4 linked regions of the Schizosaccharomyces pombe genome follow. The gene in region 1 interacts genetically with each later gene. Each region holds a gene or a part of one and is shown in the gene's direction. Other genes may lie near its edges. The genes, in order: prp10, uri1, spf31 and iss9.

Evidence for each region.
Region 2: mutations in prp10 (region 1) and uri1 together harm fitness less than expected from each alone (positive genetic interaction), as found in Schizosaccharomyces pombe (one large-scale study listed by BioGRID).
Region 3: mutations in prp10 (region 1) and spf31 together harm fitness more than expected from each alone (negative genetic interaction), as found in Schizosaccharomyces pombe (one large-scale study listed by BioGRID).
Region 4: mutations in prp10 (region 1) and iss9 together harm fitness more than expected from each alone (negative genetic interaction), as found in Schizosaccharomyces pombe (one large-scale study listed by BioGRID).

What each region holds. Positions count from the first base shown.
Region 1 is NC_003424.3:4,332,593-4,338,807, reverse strand, and holds prp10 (U2 snRNP-associated protein SF3B1), read left to right. Parts: upstream 1-2,003; 5' UTR 2,004-2,020; coding exon 2,021-2,030; intron 2,031-2,081; coding exon 2,082-2,186; exon of another isoform or gene 2,187-2,252; coding exon 2,253-5,638; 3' UTR 5,639-5,673; downstream 5,674-6,215. Other genes in the region: DNA replication factor C complex subunit Rfc2, read right to left, coding at 1-66; pdp3 (PWWP domain-containing protein), read right to left, coding at 337-1,560; pdt1 (Nramp family Mn(2+) transporter), read right to left, coding at 5,904-6,215. UniProt on the Schizosaccharomyces pombe protein: Contacts pre-mRNA on both sides of the branch site early in spliceosome assembly.
Region 2 is NC_003421.2:324,331-328,955, reverse strand, and holds uri1 (prefoldin-like protein), read left to right. Parts: upstream 1-1,861; coding exon 1,862-2,009; intron 2,010-2,083; coding exon 2,084-4,035; 3' UTR 4,036-4,088; downstream 4,089-4,625. Other genes in the region: DNA-binding transcription factor, CBF1/Su(H)/LAG-1 family Cbf11, read right to left, coding at 1-1,254, 1,333-1,414; dar2 (aspartate--tRNA (Asp) ligase), read right to left, coding at 4,089-4,625.
Region 3 is NC_003423.3:1,068,459-1,072,093, reverse strand, and holds spf31 (DNAJ protein Spf31), read left to right. Parts: upstream 1-2,057; 5' UTR 2,058-2,151; coding exon 2,152-2,202; intron 2,203-2,325; exon of another isoform or gene 2,326-2,405; coding exon 2,406-2,984; 3' UTR 2,985-3,133; downstream 3,134-3,635. Other genes in the region: TRAPP III complex subunit Trs8502, read left to right, coding at 1-523; rhp18 (postreplication repair E3 ubiquitin-protein ligase), read right to left, coding at 673-1,836.
Region 4 is NC_003423.3:2,964,563-2,968,312, reverse strand, and holds iss9 (nuclear export factor), read left to right. Parts: upstream 1-1,704; 5' UTR 1,705-1,790; coding exon 1,791-2,438; exon of another isoform or gene 2,439-2,488; coding exon 2,489-2,618; intron 2,619-2,686; coding exon 2,687-3,096; 3' UTR 3,097-3,208; downstream 3,209-3,750. Other genes in the region: origin recognition complex subunit Orc6, read right to left, coding at 106-718, 777-958; bmc1 (Bin3 family regulator), read right to left, coding at 3,238-3,435, 3,478-3,750. UniProt on the Schizosaccharomyces pombe protein: Required for transcription elongation. May also be involved in pre-mRNA splicing.

The sequences.
Region 1 (6,215 bases):
AACCCAAGGTATTGATTTCTTTGCTTCCTGCTCCGTTTTCTTATTCCTTGGAGCAAAGAAAGACATTTTTTTTAAATTAGTATACACGAGATATCGCAAGTAAAAAAAAAAAACACTGACGGTACCTACTACGAAATGGTAGTAAGCAATGCTTGTTCTTGCTTACATACTAGGATAACGTATTGTAACGATTTGTACCATAAACACATTGAGTCGCGCTAATAATGCGTTCTATATTAATGAAAATGTTGGAAGCAAATATTATCGTAACATTAAATGTAAACAAGATTAGTTATGTAATTCGATAACAAAAGCATATGAATGTATGATCAAAAGTTAGGTAGTGATGACAGATGGTCTGGCAGCTTCTGTGTTCACTTGAGCATTCTTTCCAATGGGCGCTGTAGATACATTACTTGTCATGGTTTTGGGCTGAACGAATGCTTGGAATTGAAGGAGAAGAGTCGAAAATCGTGAAGAAAAGTCATATTTTTCATCCAACGGTATGTCGCTTAATTTAACAAGCAAAGTAAAAAGTGAATACAACTTGGTTGATTCTAATAGTTCAGAATTTATTGCGCTGAAATTCTCAATCATCTCCAATATTTGGTGCACATGAGACATATCCGATTCTTGAGGATAATGATTATATGACAGTAGGATTTCTTGTAGTTGGTAGCGGTAATATAAAAGAGTATTAAATCGAATATAATGAACTTGAGCATACATATCTACAGTACTTATAGGCTGAGCCAATTGATATTCAAGTGAAAATTTTGGTAATTCCTCTAAAGAACCGGCAAACCTTACTCTTTTTTTGGCTGTTTTCTTGGGAGAAGGAATTGGAGATGGGGATTTCTGAGCGTTGTCTGTAGCCATCCTAACTCGAGCTGACCTACGTGAAGGTCGTTGCTTCGATGTTTGAGAAATTTCTGCCGACGATTTCTCATTTTTTAACCTTTTACCCCCGTCAATTTTAGGTGTGGCTTCTATCTTTTCCTTTTTTGGTTTCTCGATGGGCTTTTGAAGTTTTTTACGAGTATTCTCTGGTTCAAACTCATCCTCTTCGACATCAGAAAAAGAAACTTTTCTCTTTACGGAAGCAATGATGAGACCTACCGTCTTTTGGATATACTTTGTCGATAAATCATGGTCCAAAATAAACCTTGATTCATCAACAGTTAAGGGCAAAACATTTGAAGAAGAAATAATAGCGTAATCTCTTGAAGGAAGAAACTGAACAAATATTCCATTGTCCATTCGAAAATTTCGTTTCAATCGTTCGCGTACCTCAGTGGGTATTGATTTTTGGCTCGCTACTCTGGCTGGCCACCATGGGAAGCTACTCATCTTTGCTAAAACATATTCCCCATTTTTATATGATTTCCTTGGTGACGTCCTCGGAACATACGCTAATTGTTTACCTTTCTTTTTAACATCACGCAGATTTTTCGTATTAGAAGTCTGTTGCCCGGTGGCCTTTTTTTTTGTTTTAATCTTCTTCTGGTTATTAATCTCTTCAAGCTTTCTTTTTTGACTGCGTGTCCTAGCAACCATCATCGTTAATTACATTCCTTATAAGCCAAACTTCACATTAAAGCGATATAGTGCTGAATTTTTCCAAAGAGATTTTACATCAATTTGTAAAGGTTCCACCAAATATTAGGATATACAAGTAGAAACCGTAAGACGCTTGTCTATTATCAATTAATTGCAGCAACGCTTACAAGATCTACAATAGCAGAGGGGGGGGGTGCTAAAAGCTTGAGCTGTTGCAATATGATACCTCGATATTTCAATATCATTCCTCATACTAATTTTTTCGATAGTATATATTTCTTTCGCAAATAAATCTTAATAAAGAGGGTTAAACTAAATAAGACACGTTAATCTTATCGTTATTCTACAAAACGAGTTACTGTATTGTACTTTAAAATATTGATAACGAAGCTTAGAATGCTTTGAGTATATTTAAATGAGTATAAGACGCGCAACATGAAAGCATTTCTTCGCCATCAACATGTCAACTGGTACGTATCCTTATAAAATGTTCAAAATGGATGTTACTAACCTAAATAAAGTAGAAGATGTGGAAATAGAAAGGCTTCGTGCTGAAAGAGAACTTTTGCGAAGACAAAAAGAGGCAGCGAAGAATTCGTCGACAAATGGAAGTGTAAATATTGAAGGTACCCAGGATTCTAATGATTTACAATATAATGCTCATCTTTTTAAGTCCAGTAACCCAAAAGAAGAATATGACTCCGCAATTGACGTGCGCAATGATATCTCTCAGGATGAAGACGATTATAAACGTACAAACGATGTTAATGATAGTTATCGTTTAGTGCGTCAATATGAAGCACCTAAGGAACTACTAAATGAATACGCTGATGAAAGTTATGACCCTATGCAAGAGAGACAGTCAAAAAAGCAAATTCAGGATCGCGAGTCAGATTATCAAAAGCAGCGTTATGATAGACAGCTTACTCCAACCCGCGTAGATGCTTTTCAACCTGATGGGACACAGAGCAATGGAAGATCTTATGCGGAGGTTATGCGGCAGGTTGAATTAGAAAAGGAAGAGCGACGAGTTCATATGGAATTAAATCAAAGACGTCGTGAAGGAACACTAAAAGAGGTGGAGGAGGAGGAAAGCATATCGGACAAAAAAAGAGAACTAGAGCTTAATAATACGGAAATATCTCAGAAGCCTAAACGCTCTCGTTGGGATCAGGCTCCACCTAGCGTTACGCAGGTTTCCACTACTAAGCGTAGATCACGTTGGGACAAAGCTCCTGAAAACTTCACTATATCTGAACATGTTATAGAAAACGGAATTTCTGAAGATCTTATTAATAAGGAAGTAAATGTAGTAGAAGAAAAATTACGACCTCCTGTCCGTTTATTAACTGAAGAAGAGTTAAATGAGCTTTTGCCGTCAGAAGGCTATGCTATTTTGGAGCCTCCTCCTGGATATTTAGAATCAATTCATCCTGAACTACTTCAAAAAGGTACTACGCTCGATACATATCACGTTCCACAAGAGCAAGAGCTTCCTTTAGAAAAAGAATTACCAGCTGCATTGCCTACAGAAATACCCGGTGTAGGTGATTTAGCTTTTTTTAAGCAAGAAGATGTTAAATATTTTGGCAAGTTACTCAAGGTGGAGGACGAGGCCAAGCTTACAATTGCGGAACTTCGTGAACGTAAAATTTTGAGATTACTTCTGAAAGTAAAAAATGGTACTCCTCCCATGCGTAAGAGTGCATTACGCCAGCTTACGGATCAAGCTCGCGACTTTGGTGCAGCTGCTTTATTTAATCAGATTCTTCCGTTGTTAATGGAACGAACACTGGAAGATCAGGAGCGCCATCTTTTAGTTAAGGTTATTGATCGTATATTATACAAATTGGATGATCTGGTTCGCCCTTTTACTCATAAAATTCTCGTAGTTATTGAACCCCTTCTTATTGATGAAGATTACTATGCACGTGCTGAAGGTCGGGAAATCATTAGTAACTTAGCTAAAGCTTCCGGCTTGGCTCATATGATTGCTACAATGAGACCTGACATTGATCATGTCGACGAATATGTCCGAAACACCACAGCCCGTGCCTTTTCGGTTGTTGCCTCTGCACTAGGCGTGCCGGCTCTTTTACCTTTTTTAAAAGCTGTTTGTAGAAGTAAGAAATCATGGCAAGCCAGGCATACTGGCGTTCGGATTATTCAACAGATTGCTCTGTTATTAGGATGCTCTATTTTACCACACTTAAAAAATTTAGTTGATTGTATTGGTCACGGCCTTGAAGATGAACAACAAAAAGTACGAATTATGACAGCTTTGTCCTTATCGGCTTTAGCTGAAGCTGCTACTCCTTACGGTATTGAAGCTTTTGACAGCGTTTTAAAGCCATTATGGTCAGGAGTCCAAAGGCATCGTGGTAAAAGCTTAGCCGCCTTTTTAAAAGCAACCGGTTTTATTATCCCTCTTATGGAACCTGAGTATGCAAGTCATTTTACACGGCGTATCATGAAAATTCTTCTACGTGAATTTAATTCACCAGACGAAGAAATGAAAAAGATAGTTCTCAAAGTTGTATCACAATGTGCATCTACTGATGGAGTAACACCTGAGTATTTGAGAACTGATGTGTTGCCTGAATTTTTTCACTGTTTTTGGTCCCGAAGGATGGCATCAGATCGTCGCAGCTACAAGCAAGTTGTTGAAACTACAGTTGTTCTTGCTCAACAAGTAGGTTCCCGTCAAATTGTTGAAAGGGTCGTCAACAACTTTAAAGATGAATCCGAGCCATATCGGAAGATGACCGCTGAAACTGTCGATAAAGTGATTGGCTCTTTAGGTGTTTCCGAGATTGACGAAAGATTGGAAGAGCTACTGTTGGATGGTGTTTTATTTGCTTTTCAGGAGCAATCCGTTGAGGAGAAAGTTATTTTAACTTGCTTTAGTACTGTTGTTAATGCTCTTGGTACAAGATGTAAGCCGTATCTTCCTCAGATCGTTTCTACTATATTGTATCGTTTAAACAATAAGTCTGCTAATGTCCGCGAACAAGCTGCCGACTTAGTTTCCAGTATAACCATTGTTTTAAAGGCATGTGGTGAAGAAGCATTAATGCGTAAACTTGGTGTTGTTTTGTACGAGTATCTTGGTGAAGAATATCCAGAGGTTCTGGGCTCAATTCTTGGTGCTATTAAAGCTATTGTTTCCGTTGTTGGTATGTCTTCAATGCAACCTCCTATTCGTGATTTGTTACCAAGATTGACTCCCATCTTGAGGAACCGTCATGAAAAGGTCCAAGAGAATACAATTGATCTCGTTGGCAAAATTGCAGATCGTGGATCGGAATACGTGTCCGCTAGGGAATGGATGCGTATTTGTTTTGAATTAATTGATATGCTTAAAGCACATAAAAAGAGTATTCGCCGTGCTGCTGTCAACACATTTGGTTATATATCAAAAGCCATCGGACCTCAAGACGTGCTGGCTACTTTGTTAAATAATCTCAAAGTCCAGGAACGCCAAAATCGTGTATGTACTACTGTAGCTATTGCTATCGTGGCAGAAACATGTATGCCTTTTACAGTCGTACCAGCACTTATGGCAGACTACAGAACTCCAGAAATGAACGTGCAGAATGGTGTTTTAAAGTCATTAGCGTTTATGTTTGAATACATTGGTGAGCAAGCACGCGACTATGTTTATGCCATTACACCTCTTTTAGCCGATGCGCTTATGGATCGCGATGCCGTGCATCGGCAAACCGCCGCTTCTGTAATCAAGCACTTGTCTCTTGGTTGTGTTGGTTTGGGTGTTGAAGACGCAATGATTCATTTACTTAATATCCTATGGCCAAATATCTTGGAGGAATCGCCCCATGTTATCAATGCCGTTCGGGAAGGCATTGATGGCATCCGAAATTGTATCGGTGTAGGTCCAATTATGGCATATTTAGTACAAGGATTATTTCATCCGAGTCGTAAAGTTCGTAACACTTATTGGACAAGCTACAATTCTGCTTATGTACAAAGTGCAGATGCTATGGTACCATACTATCCCCACGTTGATGACGATCAATTCAACAACTACGATATGAAAACTTTACATATTTGCATCTAAGTACCCTTTTTGTTAATTATTAAAAAATATTCATTATAATAGTACATGAAAACATTTGTGATAGTACTTGTATACATGTCTCAGCTTCATGTTAATAACTTTGGTTTCAACAGAGCATCGCAAATTACTTGACGCGGTTTGCAAATGCTACATAAATAAATTTCGGACTAAGTGTAGTAATTAAAGGAAAGCTATGGGGAAATGTTAAAAGGAACGTACGCATATAACCATGCCGTTTGAAAAATACGAGCGTTCTAAAATTTATTTAGAAGGAGACTCCCATGCCCAACCAAACAATGAGTAATAAATTTAAAGCAGTCAAAAAGAGCCAAATTGCCCATGTAACAATAGTCATAGTCCATCCTAAGCTATAATCGTGAGTTTCTCTTATCAATTGTCCAGTTTCTTCATTGGTAGAATCACTAACAACACGCATAACTTTTCGAGAGCAAGTGAACATTACAAGTGGAAAGGTAAGAAAAGGTAATAAAATAGAAAGACAAACCTGACTAGCGTTCAGTACTTGATTAAGACCACTCTGTCCAACAGCAGCCGAAACAACTAAGCATGGGATAAT
Region 2 (4,625 bases), on another chromosome or scaffold:
AACGGACTGAAATATTATTGGAATATGCCAGTGAACTATGCTCAGCGATCTTAAGATGCCGTACGTTTGATATGGGATATGCGCTTTCTAATACAATTCTATGCATTTGATTAACGTAACCGTCCTCCTCAGCAATGTGGTCTTTTTCTACTCGTCGAATAATTAAAGGGTCACTCGTCGTTCCTGTTGCTTCATCGACCAATTCAACGATGGAGCCATATTTAATGGGTTCTGGGTTATCGACATCGTCGCATACCTTCAGTTTACCATTTTCATCTGGTAATAGCAGGTTAATACGCAATGGCACCCATCTATCACCGCGAAGACAAAACTGACCAGCCTCAATCGATGTATACTTTGTACGTACAGTTTGTGAATTAATCCGGTTATAAAGGCTGACGACTGAACCGGATCGCAACGTAATATTACTAATTTTTAGTTTGCTTCCTTTTTTCGAAGGTTTGGAGACAATACTAATAGAAGAAGTAACCAAATGAGATAACAATTGGTTATTTACATTCGAGAACATGTCCAGAGAAAGCCGTAAGTTTTTAGATTTCGCAGCGACCAAACTCGATATATGCAGTGACCGAAAAATCATACATCCTTGGCCAGTGTATTCTTCGCTGATGGGTTGCGAACATTGCCCAAAATCATTCATTATTGATATCTCAGTGCGAAAAGACTGATTGAATATAGAAGAGTAATTCCCATTAATATAAACCATAGGGGGTGGACATAGGTAACGTTTCTCTGACCCATAAGACTTTTGTATGACAGAGGAATGTCGACACGAAACTGTTACCAGCTGACTAGGTTTCCCTGAACGTGTAAGTGAAATTTTGTGCACACTGTCCTCATTCAAATTAGCAATGCCAATACAACAATTGTTCAGTAAATCCAAATGATCTGATATGGCTCTTCGGATCATCTCTACAGAACTGTCTTCATCAAAGGTTTTTCTTTTTCTATTAAACCCAGGAGGAGAAGGAGCAGGAATTATGTTTTGGGCCAGCTCGTCCAACGAATTAGACGCCTTTGCTACAGCAGGAAAAATTGACTGTTCATCCTTAACTACAGAAGGGAATTCCTCTGATTTTTCCAAAGTAGCCAAAGCTGAGTTTACAGCACTGAAGAGAGACAAAACCTGCATGGAAACACTTCCAGGACTCCCGCTTCCAACTCTTTCAGAATTTTCATTCCTTCCTCCAGCTCCATCCTCCTGATTATGCAAACCATTATTTATGTTGTCCACTAGAAAAATCCGTTAGCTATTTTACGCTTGGGATGTTCAGAATGATTTATAACTCAACCATCATTGCTAGCGCTTACAGTTCAACTGATTTAAATTTAAGGAGCCAGAAGTATTACTCCCAGAGATATTTGCAAAATCCCAGGCAAAATAGTCCCCCATTAATGTTCAAATTATGTTTTATACTTGCTTAAACTGTTGGACCTATAGGATTAAGACATGCATTTGCTTTTACTTAAATTATTTTCAGTGAGAAAATATTAAAATTTAAAGTAAGGGACCAAATTACTAGATGCTTAGGACATTTGCAGTATGGCGCTTTCTACGTACATTAGGGTCAGGTCGGTGGCTTCCTACTCAGTTTGAGCCATTTCCATTAACATCGATTTTTCGATATTATATTAGTTACCCTGTTATTTAAATACTAAAAGTATTTAAAATTTATTAGAATTACTTATTATCTCGTTTTTAAAGTGAATATTAGCTTGCCCGAATAAGCTGTATATGCCTTTTTCCGGAATAACCACGAAACGATCGTTGGCGTGAGATTATTTTGAATTAGAAATTCTTCAATAACTCTATTTAAGATCCTTTAAAACAACTTATCGAATGAACGACGAAAGACTAGTAGCCATCAATTTTGAACAGCAAATCTTCTCTAAGATTAGCGAAATTTCTGAATCAGTCGGTAGGGCGATCCGTTACTGTAAGGAAGATGGAAAAGTTGAAGGATGTGAAACAGCATCCCATGTGGATTGTACGTTACTTTTTCTTATAAATTGAGTGATAATGTTTGCTTCATCAAACGACTAATTGCTAATGAAAATCCAGTCTTAAATCATATTCATTTACTTTTGGGAAATTACAATAATGACTTAGCATCTTCAATTGAAAAGAAGAAATCCGAGTTGATAGTAAGAAACTCAGAAGGGTTACCTGTTATGGATATTCATGAAGAAGTTGATAAAGATGGAAATATTATAAGTGCTTCTGTTGCTCCACAAAGAATTTCATCTGTAATAGATTATGCGGATGTCTTTCGATCCCTTCCTGGTTTCAAAAATATTGAAAATGGGGGGAACCGTGATACATCTTCGAGAATTGAAGAGCTATCTGAAGAAGAAATTAACGATTCTACGAAAAATATTAACTACAAAGCTCCAGAAATGGGCTCATTACCTTCTAATACTGAATTTACTTCAACTCCAACACTTGGTGTCTCAGAATTTCCCAGCAAACATGGTGATCATTCAGACAGTAAAACATATGAGAGTCCTATTAGTAATAGTCAGGCTGCTTCATTGAGTGATTCAGATATGGTTCAACAAATTAAAAATGGTAGCAAGACTTCTTTGTTTAAAAAGGGTTTTCTTTTCAAAAAAAATAATGCAATGCAAAACAGAACTACTTCAAATATAAAGTCAAACGCTTCTGCTATTGAAAAAAATAAAGAAACGATATTGAATGCTCTCAATAACTCTACTTTAAATGAAAATGGACATCAAGATACCCAAAATGAAGTTTTACGAGACATTGTGTTAGAGCATCCGACAGCGAAGGCCCAAGATACTGGGGAATCTAATAAAGATAATAACACTAGCACGTCTAAACATAAAAAACGACCTAAGCGTCTTTCAAAATTTAAACAAGCTAAGCTAGAAACAAAAAAATCTGGCAACAAAGATCATGCTACATCTAGTGAAAAGCTTTCACTAGGAAATGAATCTATTCATTCTATAAACGAAACTAGAAGTAGTAGTATAGAAGAACCAGATAATGCCGACAATAAAATTGTCGAAGAAGAACCGATGTTACTACCAGTTCCGACGACTGCGCAAGGACAAAATGTTTTGGAAGCAGTACAATACGACGGTTTAGACTCTTTAGAAGATATGGAGGCTCTCATTCAGGAAATGGAGGAGGAAGGCGAATTAGATGATAATTCTGAGTCTGAGGAAGATGAACATGGTATGACGATAGGATTTTCCAAGGAACTGAAAGCTCCACCGGATCCTCAATATTTTACAGAAAAGACTGGTGCTACAACTTATGTCAATGGTAATGACGAGAGCCTAAATGTCAGTGACTTTCCACAAATCGTTGAACAAGAAGAGCTTTCGTCAAAAAATCCTCGAAAGGTACATTTTTCAGACACGCTGGAAATTAAACACGTCAGTCGGAGTGGAAAGGCGAATATTGAAGTTATACCTGCTCCAACTGAAGAATACGATAATCTTTTTGGACCAGACGATTTTCAGAGTCGTATTTCAGCGTTTCGTAAAGCAAGGAGCAAATTGCGCGCAAAGGAAAACGAAGAGGGCAACCATTCTAATGCCACATGTACAATCAAGAACGATGATTTGAGTAACACATTAAATAATCGGGCTGCGAATACAAAGTTAAATCCAAAAGAAGAAGACAAATCTACTGTAGAATCCGAGCTTAAAGCACCGCCTAAAGAAAAAAGCTCGGAAACTTCCAAGGAATATTTAAATGAACCATCTGTAGTAAAAGATTTTGTAGTTGAACGAACTCCATCTGACAAAATTAGCGAGTCTAAAGAAGCATTCGATGCGAAAGTCGAGGAAATTAGTGATCAACGAGCTATATCACAACGTTACTACGAACTGAGAAAAAAAATGATAGATAATACAGGTGAATATATTAAGGATGAAGAAGAACAGGCAGTTATACCTTTGGATGAGAATGGAAATGAAAAACCTAAAATGAGCCGATTTATGACCGCGAGGTTGCGTGGTCGTGTTCCCATTTATGAGCATTAGATTAAAATTTTGTATAAAAAAAATTAAATGATTAATGTTTTTGCTTAAGTTATCTAATTACGGTTTTGAGTTTGTCGCGTAATAGCAACGTTGTAGTCTTTCAACATCTCTTCTGGAATAGCAGACGGGCTGCCAATTAAAAGATCAGCACCCGAAGAGGTTTTCGGAAAAGCAATGACCTCGCGAATTCCTGGAGCATTCGTCAACAGCGCAGCCAGCCTGTCAAAACCCAATGCAATTCCACCATGCGGTGGACAGCCACTAGACAATACGCGTATTAAATGCTCAAATGTAGCATACCTATTCTCTGGTAATTTAAGCACGTCTTTAAGCACAAATCTTTGAATATCTGGATTGTGTATGCGAATACTGCCACCCCCTAATTCAATACCATTCACGACTATATCATAATGAAGTCCACGAACAGAAAGAGGCTTTTTTTCCAGTAAATGTACATCATCCCAATGAGGAGCAGTAAATGGGTGATGTGTAGATGTAATAGATTGATTTTTCTCTTCGGTTGGTGAGAAAAGAGGAAAATCCACGACCCAAACGAATTTTAATAAATCCTTGTCCAGCTCTGGTAAAGC
Region 3 (3,635 bases), on another chromosome or scaffold:
TTTACACCTAAAAATGCCATATATGAGTTTGACGAACACATTGAGAATAAACGAGTATATGCAATCTGCTATGTTAAATTATTTGAATAAATCCTTCAATTCCTATTATCATGCTGCGCGCTGTTTCCTTCTCCTGGGACAATTCCTTAGTTGTTTACCAGCTCCAAAAGTGGACGATGCTGCTAACTGGAATGCAGGTTTGCTTTATTCTAAGAGATTGGGTCCTGTAGGAAGAGCAATGATCTTTCAACAAACTCACACTCTCTTTAAATCCCTTTCTTATTTAAAAACTGAATCTACGGACCCGTTCTCTAATAAGCGAACTCGTAAAGCCGCACTTTGGTGTGTATTAACTGCCGATGCTTGGTTGAGATGTCGCATTCCCTTTCGTGCCAAGCCTTTTGTAGAGGAAGCAAAATTGTTTTATGGAAAAATCGATTGGAAGGATTTGAAGGAGTGTGTTGCAGCACTTGACGAAGTCGAAGTCTCCAAACAACCTGCTTCTAATATTCCTTCTAGCTAGAAATGCCCCACTTTCAAAATGTATATTATTTTATTTACCAAATATCAAAATTTCTACAGGTTATTAATGTGATTATATATAGCGAAATAAACTAATAAGTTAATCTGATAATGAAAATTCGTTAAAACGAATCCAACGAAAATTAATGATTAGGACTGTGGTCCATCGGATCCCGTTTGTGAATTGGTAAGGTCAATAGTAAGAGGGGGACTAACTGAAGTGGCAGGAAAACCGTTAGATGTAGAAGGTTCGGTGGAAGATTCAACAGCAGTGTTCCTCAATGAATCATTTTTGTTAGTTGTTGATTGTTTTGCACGGTTGATGAGATCAGCAAAATCCTCAGCGTATGCCTTCTCCCAATCGCCCCCTCCTAGTTTTTCTTTTTCTACTCCAATTGATTTCGACTGAACGCGCTCCCAATCTATAAGTTGGCGAATTAAATTTCTTTTTGAAACAGGTTGTTTCTGGTCTAAATTAGAATTGTAAAGGGTAACCCATTTAGCATGTCGACGTTGTAATAGTTGTTTATGTCCATCGGTTGGAAGCCCCATCTCTGATAATTTGGAACGAATTTTTGATTCGGAAAGGAGTGCATAAGTTAGTTTGGGAAGCCGCACTCGATCTTTCAAGGGTAGTTCATCTGCAGAGTTAAACGACCTTAACCTGCGCTTCGTGATAGAATCATCATCTGTTTTGAATGATAGTAATGAATTAGATTTACTATTATCCTTATTTTTATAAGGTGAGGAAGAGGAAGACGGGGAAGAAGGTGAGTTAAGACAAGAATCCAAGTGTTGATTAATTTGATTATGAGGAACTAAATTTGAACATGCAGGGCAGTGAACTAAATCCTCACGTTTCCTCTTTTTAGAATCCCTAGATGTCTTTTTAGCTATAGAAGCAGGAGATGAATTTGAAGCCAAGTCGTCTTCCCATTCCTCATCGCCAGAAGCTGAATCCTGTGCGATAACTGTTTCAGGAGCTTGAAGTACTGGCTTTGGCACATTTTCTACTTTTAAGAATTCAAACAATGTTGGCCTGATCACTTTAAAGGACTCTAAAATCTCTTCTAATATAGTGTTTTTTCTTAAGCGGCTTTCTTGCTCAGGAGCACGACAAGCAGGGCACATAGGATGTTCTCTCAGATAATCGCGTATACAAAACGAACAAAAGGTGTGTGAGCAAGAAGTAATTAAGGGGGCGCGAAAGTATTCATGACAAATCAGACATCGTAAAGAAGAATCCAAGCCCTTCAACGATGGTATTTTCGTTTGGTTCCAATCAGATGGATCTGTAGCATCTAGTTCATTCATCTTATTTTAAATTGCAAACCCATTAATAGTTAATATGCACTAATATTCAAACTTAATTAGGGATTCGTAAGAGCACTCTCGGACGGTAAATTTTTAAACCTTAGACACATCGATATGTAAATGAATATGTATATTCATATACATTATTACATTTAAAGAACAAATGTAAAGAACCTGTTTCTAAACGTACTTACAGATTCTTACCCTCGATACCAGAAGTTGGCGAATGCAAAACCTAACTCACCACCAAATTTATCTATAAAGGATTTTTGAAATTTGCACTCTTGTAATTTCAATTTTGGGGCTCGGTCAGAAATGGCAGACGTTGCAAAGTTTTTAGATCGAGTTGAAGGAAGTTTAAACAGAGTAAGTTTTAGCATTTTATTGACATTGCATGTGAAGATTTCTAGATGTACCTTAGTAGGTTGATTCGATTTATCTTATTCTCAGAATTTTTTTTTTTTTTGTTTATACAGATTATATACTACAATGAAACAATAGAATAACTTTGCCTATGCGTATATTACTTGCTAATCAAACAAAGTCGATGAATTCTAACCTTTACTTAGGGACGTGAGATTGACAGAATATTGTCTTCCTTTAAATTAAATGCATATGATGTTCTTGATATTTTGCCAGGAATGAGTGTTGATGATATTCGAAATTTGTACAGGAAAAAATCATTAATGATTCATCCAGACAAAAATCGCGATAACCCAAAAGCTGCAGACGCATTCGACATTTTAAAAAAGGCGGAGTCTGATCTAGTTAATGATAAGATTCGGGAATCTCTTGATTCGGCTTACACAGCTGCAAGGAACCAACTATTGAAAGAAAAAAAATTGTCTCCAAATTCGGAAGACGTCCATTCAGACCAGTTTTTATTTGATTTAAAAGTACGTTGGCGTGAAATCCTTATTGCAGATGAAGTTGCAAGAAGACGAGCACGGCAGCTCGATTTAGCAAACCAGCAAAGAGAACAAGCGCGTCAAGATGAAATTGCAAGAGAACGAAAGCGTCGTGTAGAATCAGAAAAGGTTTGGGAAGAGACAAGAGATAATCGTGTGGGAAATTGGCAGGATTTCCTTCACAAAACGAAGAAAAATAACTTAAAAAAGAAGAATAAAAAACCAAGGGTTCTTGGATAAAAGACGAAGTTACGCGTTTTATTGTACATTAAAGCTTCGACGACTTAACCTCTTTTAGTATTTGTACATGACCTATGCGATTGAAATGATTTAATATGAAGTTTTCAACAATTTATAAATTGAAATTTCTTTTCATGCTACGTGAGCAGATTACCATTAAGTAAACTAATCAACAAATTCTACTGAAATTTGCTTTTCGACAGTGATATGTATCAGTATCGTAATAGAATTAATATGAATGCCGTTTAACCATGGTAACTGCTTTGTATATTTACAGCGTTCTATGGCATATATTCCTAATGGGTGCATGTAAAGAAAGAGAATGATTGCCCTACCCACTGTCGAATAAACAACAAACTAAAGATGTTTGTATGTACAAGGCTTTTTGGAGGAAAAAGTCCTTAAAGAGAGAATAAGACCAAGAGCTTCCTTTTTTTCCTGGCATAGCATTAAAGCGCACCAACTGAAGAAACAAGCATCATCCTAACGTGCATCCCATTATGAGTTCGTATACCAAGTTAAAAAAAAGAGGGCAGAATAACACTAAAATTACTAATTATGTCTTGATCATATGTTTAAAAGAGATAAAAAGAAATAAGAATAAAGAAAAAACGCGACCATCATTATATATGTAAGTGAAAAGGGGCAGCG
Region 4 (3,750 bases), on another chromosome or scaffold:
TAACTTTTTTTTACTCATGTATTTGTATATATCACTAAAGATATCGTGTACCCGTTTATAAATGTTGTTTAATGTACAAAAAAAAATTAATATAGTAAATTGTATTCATGAAGCAGTACCATCTTTTTCAAGCTGGCTTTTGTAATATTGGATTCTTTCTTCAATGCAGGCCTTCCATATTGGATAATTTTGAAGTCGTTTTTCGTAATCTATTTGAATCATGCTTGCTATCCCACTCCAAGGTTTTATCCGTTGCTTTTGAGATTCATAACCCTCTATACCATTTAAAGGGATTTCTTTATACTGCCAACTTTCTGAGAGGACATGCATCCAATACTGAATTTGCAATGCAGAACTTGTATCCTGTAAAACACTCTGTGCCTTTCTTCTCTCGGTGTGATTTATATGAAGTTCGTCTTTTCCAAAAGCTTTTGCCGATACTAGTAAATAAGCTGCGATTATGATGCCTCTTTTGTGTTCGATGCGCATGTCGTTTGTAACAACGGCTTTCACCAATTGTTTAACATAAGGTATAGCAGTTGAGCCCCCTAGTTTGGTACAAAGATAAGTAATGGTTTCCATCAGATCATCTTTAGCTGCTAAGGATTTAGTTAATGGAGATAAGATTTCTTGAAAGTAAGTGAAAAGTTTATAGTATTTCTTTTTTGGAATTGGAGTCGCTAGTAAATTTATTTCCAAATTTAAATCATTGGATAATCTTTTTAAAGAGTCAGAACAAGTTCAAGTAGAGTAATTAAACATCAGAAGTTACTTACAGTTCACAAGCTAAGTGCGCTGCCATATAAGGACGGCATAACTCTTCTGTCGCCTTTAGATTATGTTTATATTTGGACCATTCCAAAAATGACTCTCCTAAACTAATAAGCCGTTCATTATATTCTGTACTTTCAGTGGGAATTATTCTGCGTAAAGACTCTATAATCTGTTGTCGCTCCATGAGAAAATGAATATATTTAATAAAACTTTTATCATTTAATTTTGATTATTAATTATTGAAATCATGTAATCATTCATAATATCATAATAGTGGTGAACGCTTAGTTTGTTTTATGTCAATATGGTGTTTAATACAGAGACATTTAAACGATGTTTTTAATGCTGCTAATACTACCAGCTGTTTCAAAAATATAAAATCTATCTACTTGATGCACCACTGAATTTGGTGTTTATATTCCGTACTTATTTAATATGACTCTTGCTTAATCATTCCGGTTGCTAGTTATCTTAAATAATGTCACCAAAAGCTTAGAATTTAGACCTACATTCTTCAAGATATTACTACAAAACTTTCGAAGCAGTCTTCAAATTTTTTTTTATTTAATAATGAATTACGATTGCTTTATTGGGAGGTAGTGTTTTAGGCTTGATAATTCGGTATATTACTCTCTTTTAGTAGTTTAATCAAGGCTATATGAGGCATACAGAATAAAATATGCGTGAATAGCGTGAGTTAATATTAACTACTTTCCATGTTGGTTTCATAAATTTTAAGCGAACAAACAAGTTTAGGTGGAACCGTTGAATTATTTGATGACTTTTTAAATTTTTAAAGGAAAAAATGATGAACGATCAACTGAATAGTAATAAATTAATCCTTATTGATTGAAAGGTTGGATAATGAAATCGACTTACAACGTTACTGACAGGGTTAAGCTGACGGACTCGCACTTCTCATACAATCTCGGTACTCACCACTTTAGCAATTGAGGAAGTTGAGAAAAGTACTTAACTTTAGCATTAATCATATAGCTCAATGAAAAATATTAAATATGAAAAAAGAACATCATAGCCCTTGGCCGGACTCTTTGAAAGAATTTATTGGTAGATGCATCCAAGACGCTGAGGAAAACAGCCAGCCAGAATTAGAGGATGAAGTAAAATTGCTAATTTCTCGTCAATACGAAATGGGAAACATATGGAATGTTGATTGGTCTTCTATGAATTTAGAATCCCTAAGGAAACTGACAAATGCTCAAAATACAATCATCGAAGATAAAAAAAGAAAGGTTGAGAAGCCTGTTTCTGGAAATCAATTTTCACTTTTAAGTGAAGAAGATGAAGTGGATAAGAAAGAAAAAAGAAGAAGAAGGTTTGAAAATGGTTCTCGTTCTCAAAATAACGCTAAATCTGAAGAGCTAAAAGTCAACCCGGAGAATGGTGCTATTATAGGACGGTCCACAGAATTAGAGAAAAGGTATTTGCGATTAACTTCGGCTCCTGATCCGGATACTGTTCGACCCCTTCCAGTTCTTAAGCAAACTCTCGAACTTTTAAAGAAGAAATGGAAAGAAGAGAAAAACTATGCATATATATGCGATCAATTTAAAAGTTTAAGACAGGATTTAACTGTGCAAAGGATTCAAAATGAGTTTTCTGTATTAGTTTACGAAATACATGCTCGTATAGCTCTTGAAAAGGTACGGTTAATTACTTTAAAATATCATTTCTTCTTCTAACGTTCGACTAGGGTGATGTTGGCGAGTATAACCAATGTCAAACTCAATTATTTCATCTTTACAGTTTTGGTATACCAGGGAATACTAAGGAATTTTTAGCATATCGTATTCTGTATATGCTCTTCACTAAAAATCGATCTGGTAAGTTAATTACGGCTTACTGCTTAAAAGAATATATCTTTTGAATTCAAATTATTAACAATTTATAGAAATGAATAGCCTTCTCGCCAATCTAAAAGAAGAAGACAAAACAAACGCTGCTGTTACACATGCATTAGAAGTCCGTTCGGCGATGGCTACTGGCGATTACTATAAATTTTTCCATCTATATTTAGTCGCTCCCAACATGGGAGGTTATTTGATGGATCTTTTTATTGAGAGAGAACGAGTGCAGGCGATGATAATGATGTGCAAAGCATATCGCCCTTCTCTTACAATGGAATTTTTGGCTAACACACTAGCATTTGAAGAAATGGAAGATTGTGTAAACTTTTTTAGGAGTTGTAATGCTGTATACGATTCAAAAGATCCCAATCGCATACTGATGAAAGAAAGCACGGATAGATTCGAAAAATGCATGAAAAAGCATGCTGTGGTTGATATTAAAGGCCAAATCTAATAATAAAACTACTTCATTCCGCTTTTCTTTCTTTCCTCATATGTTGAATTAGAGAATTTAATAAAAAATGAGACACGTCCTTTTGGGACATTATGCTTTATAGTTCCAGTCATTGTCTATTCTTAACGTTTTACTAGACAATTAAGTAGAAGTTAATAGTTTTATGATTCCAATTCCTTTTTTTTTATAGATATACATTGTTCGTTTGGCAAAATTCTTGTACTCAGAGTTATTTACTTGAGGTTCGATACTGTATTCAAGCACTAGTCCTGCTTGATTAAGCAAATGTTCAAACGCATCAGGTTGGATTTTGAGGTTCTCAGGTGTTTGATTAAAAACCTAGAAAAGTAAGAGTTAGAAGTATTGATAGTCGTGACTTACAGATATTTTTTTTGCAGCTTTCAAGTACGAGTCCCATCCTTGAGGTTCTAAAATAAGAACACCATTCGTTTCCAATAAAGAACTAATCTTCCCAAAGAATTTAATGATTCCTTCATCGTGGTTATTTAGATGCACCCATTTAGATACGGATAATGCTAGTATTATTTTGAATTTTCGTTTCGATTCCCAGCGCAAGAAGTCAGCGGTCTCAAATTCTATATTGTGAGGGAAATTTTGCTTATTGAGAGGTGGTTGAAGTTGCACTGGTATCCT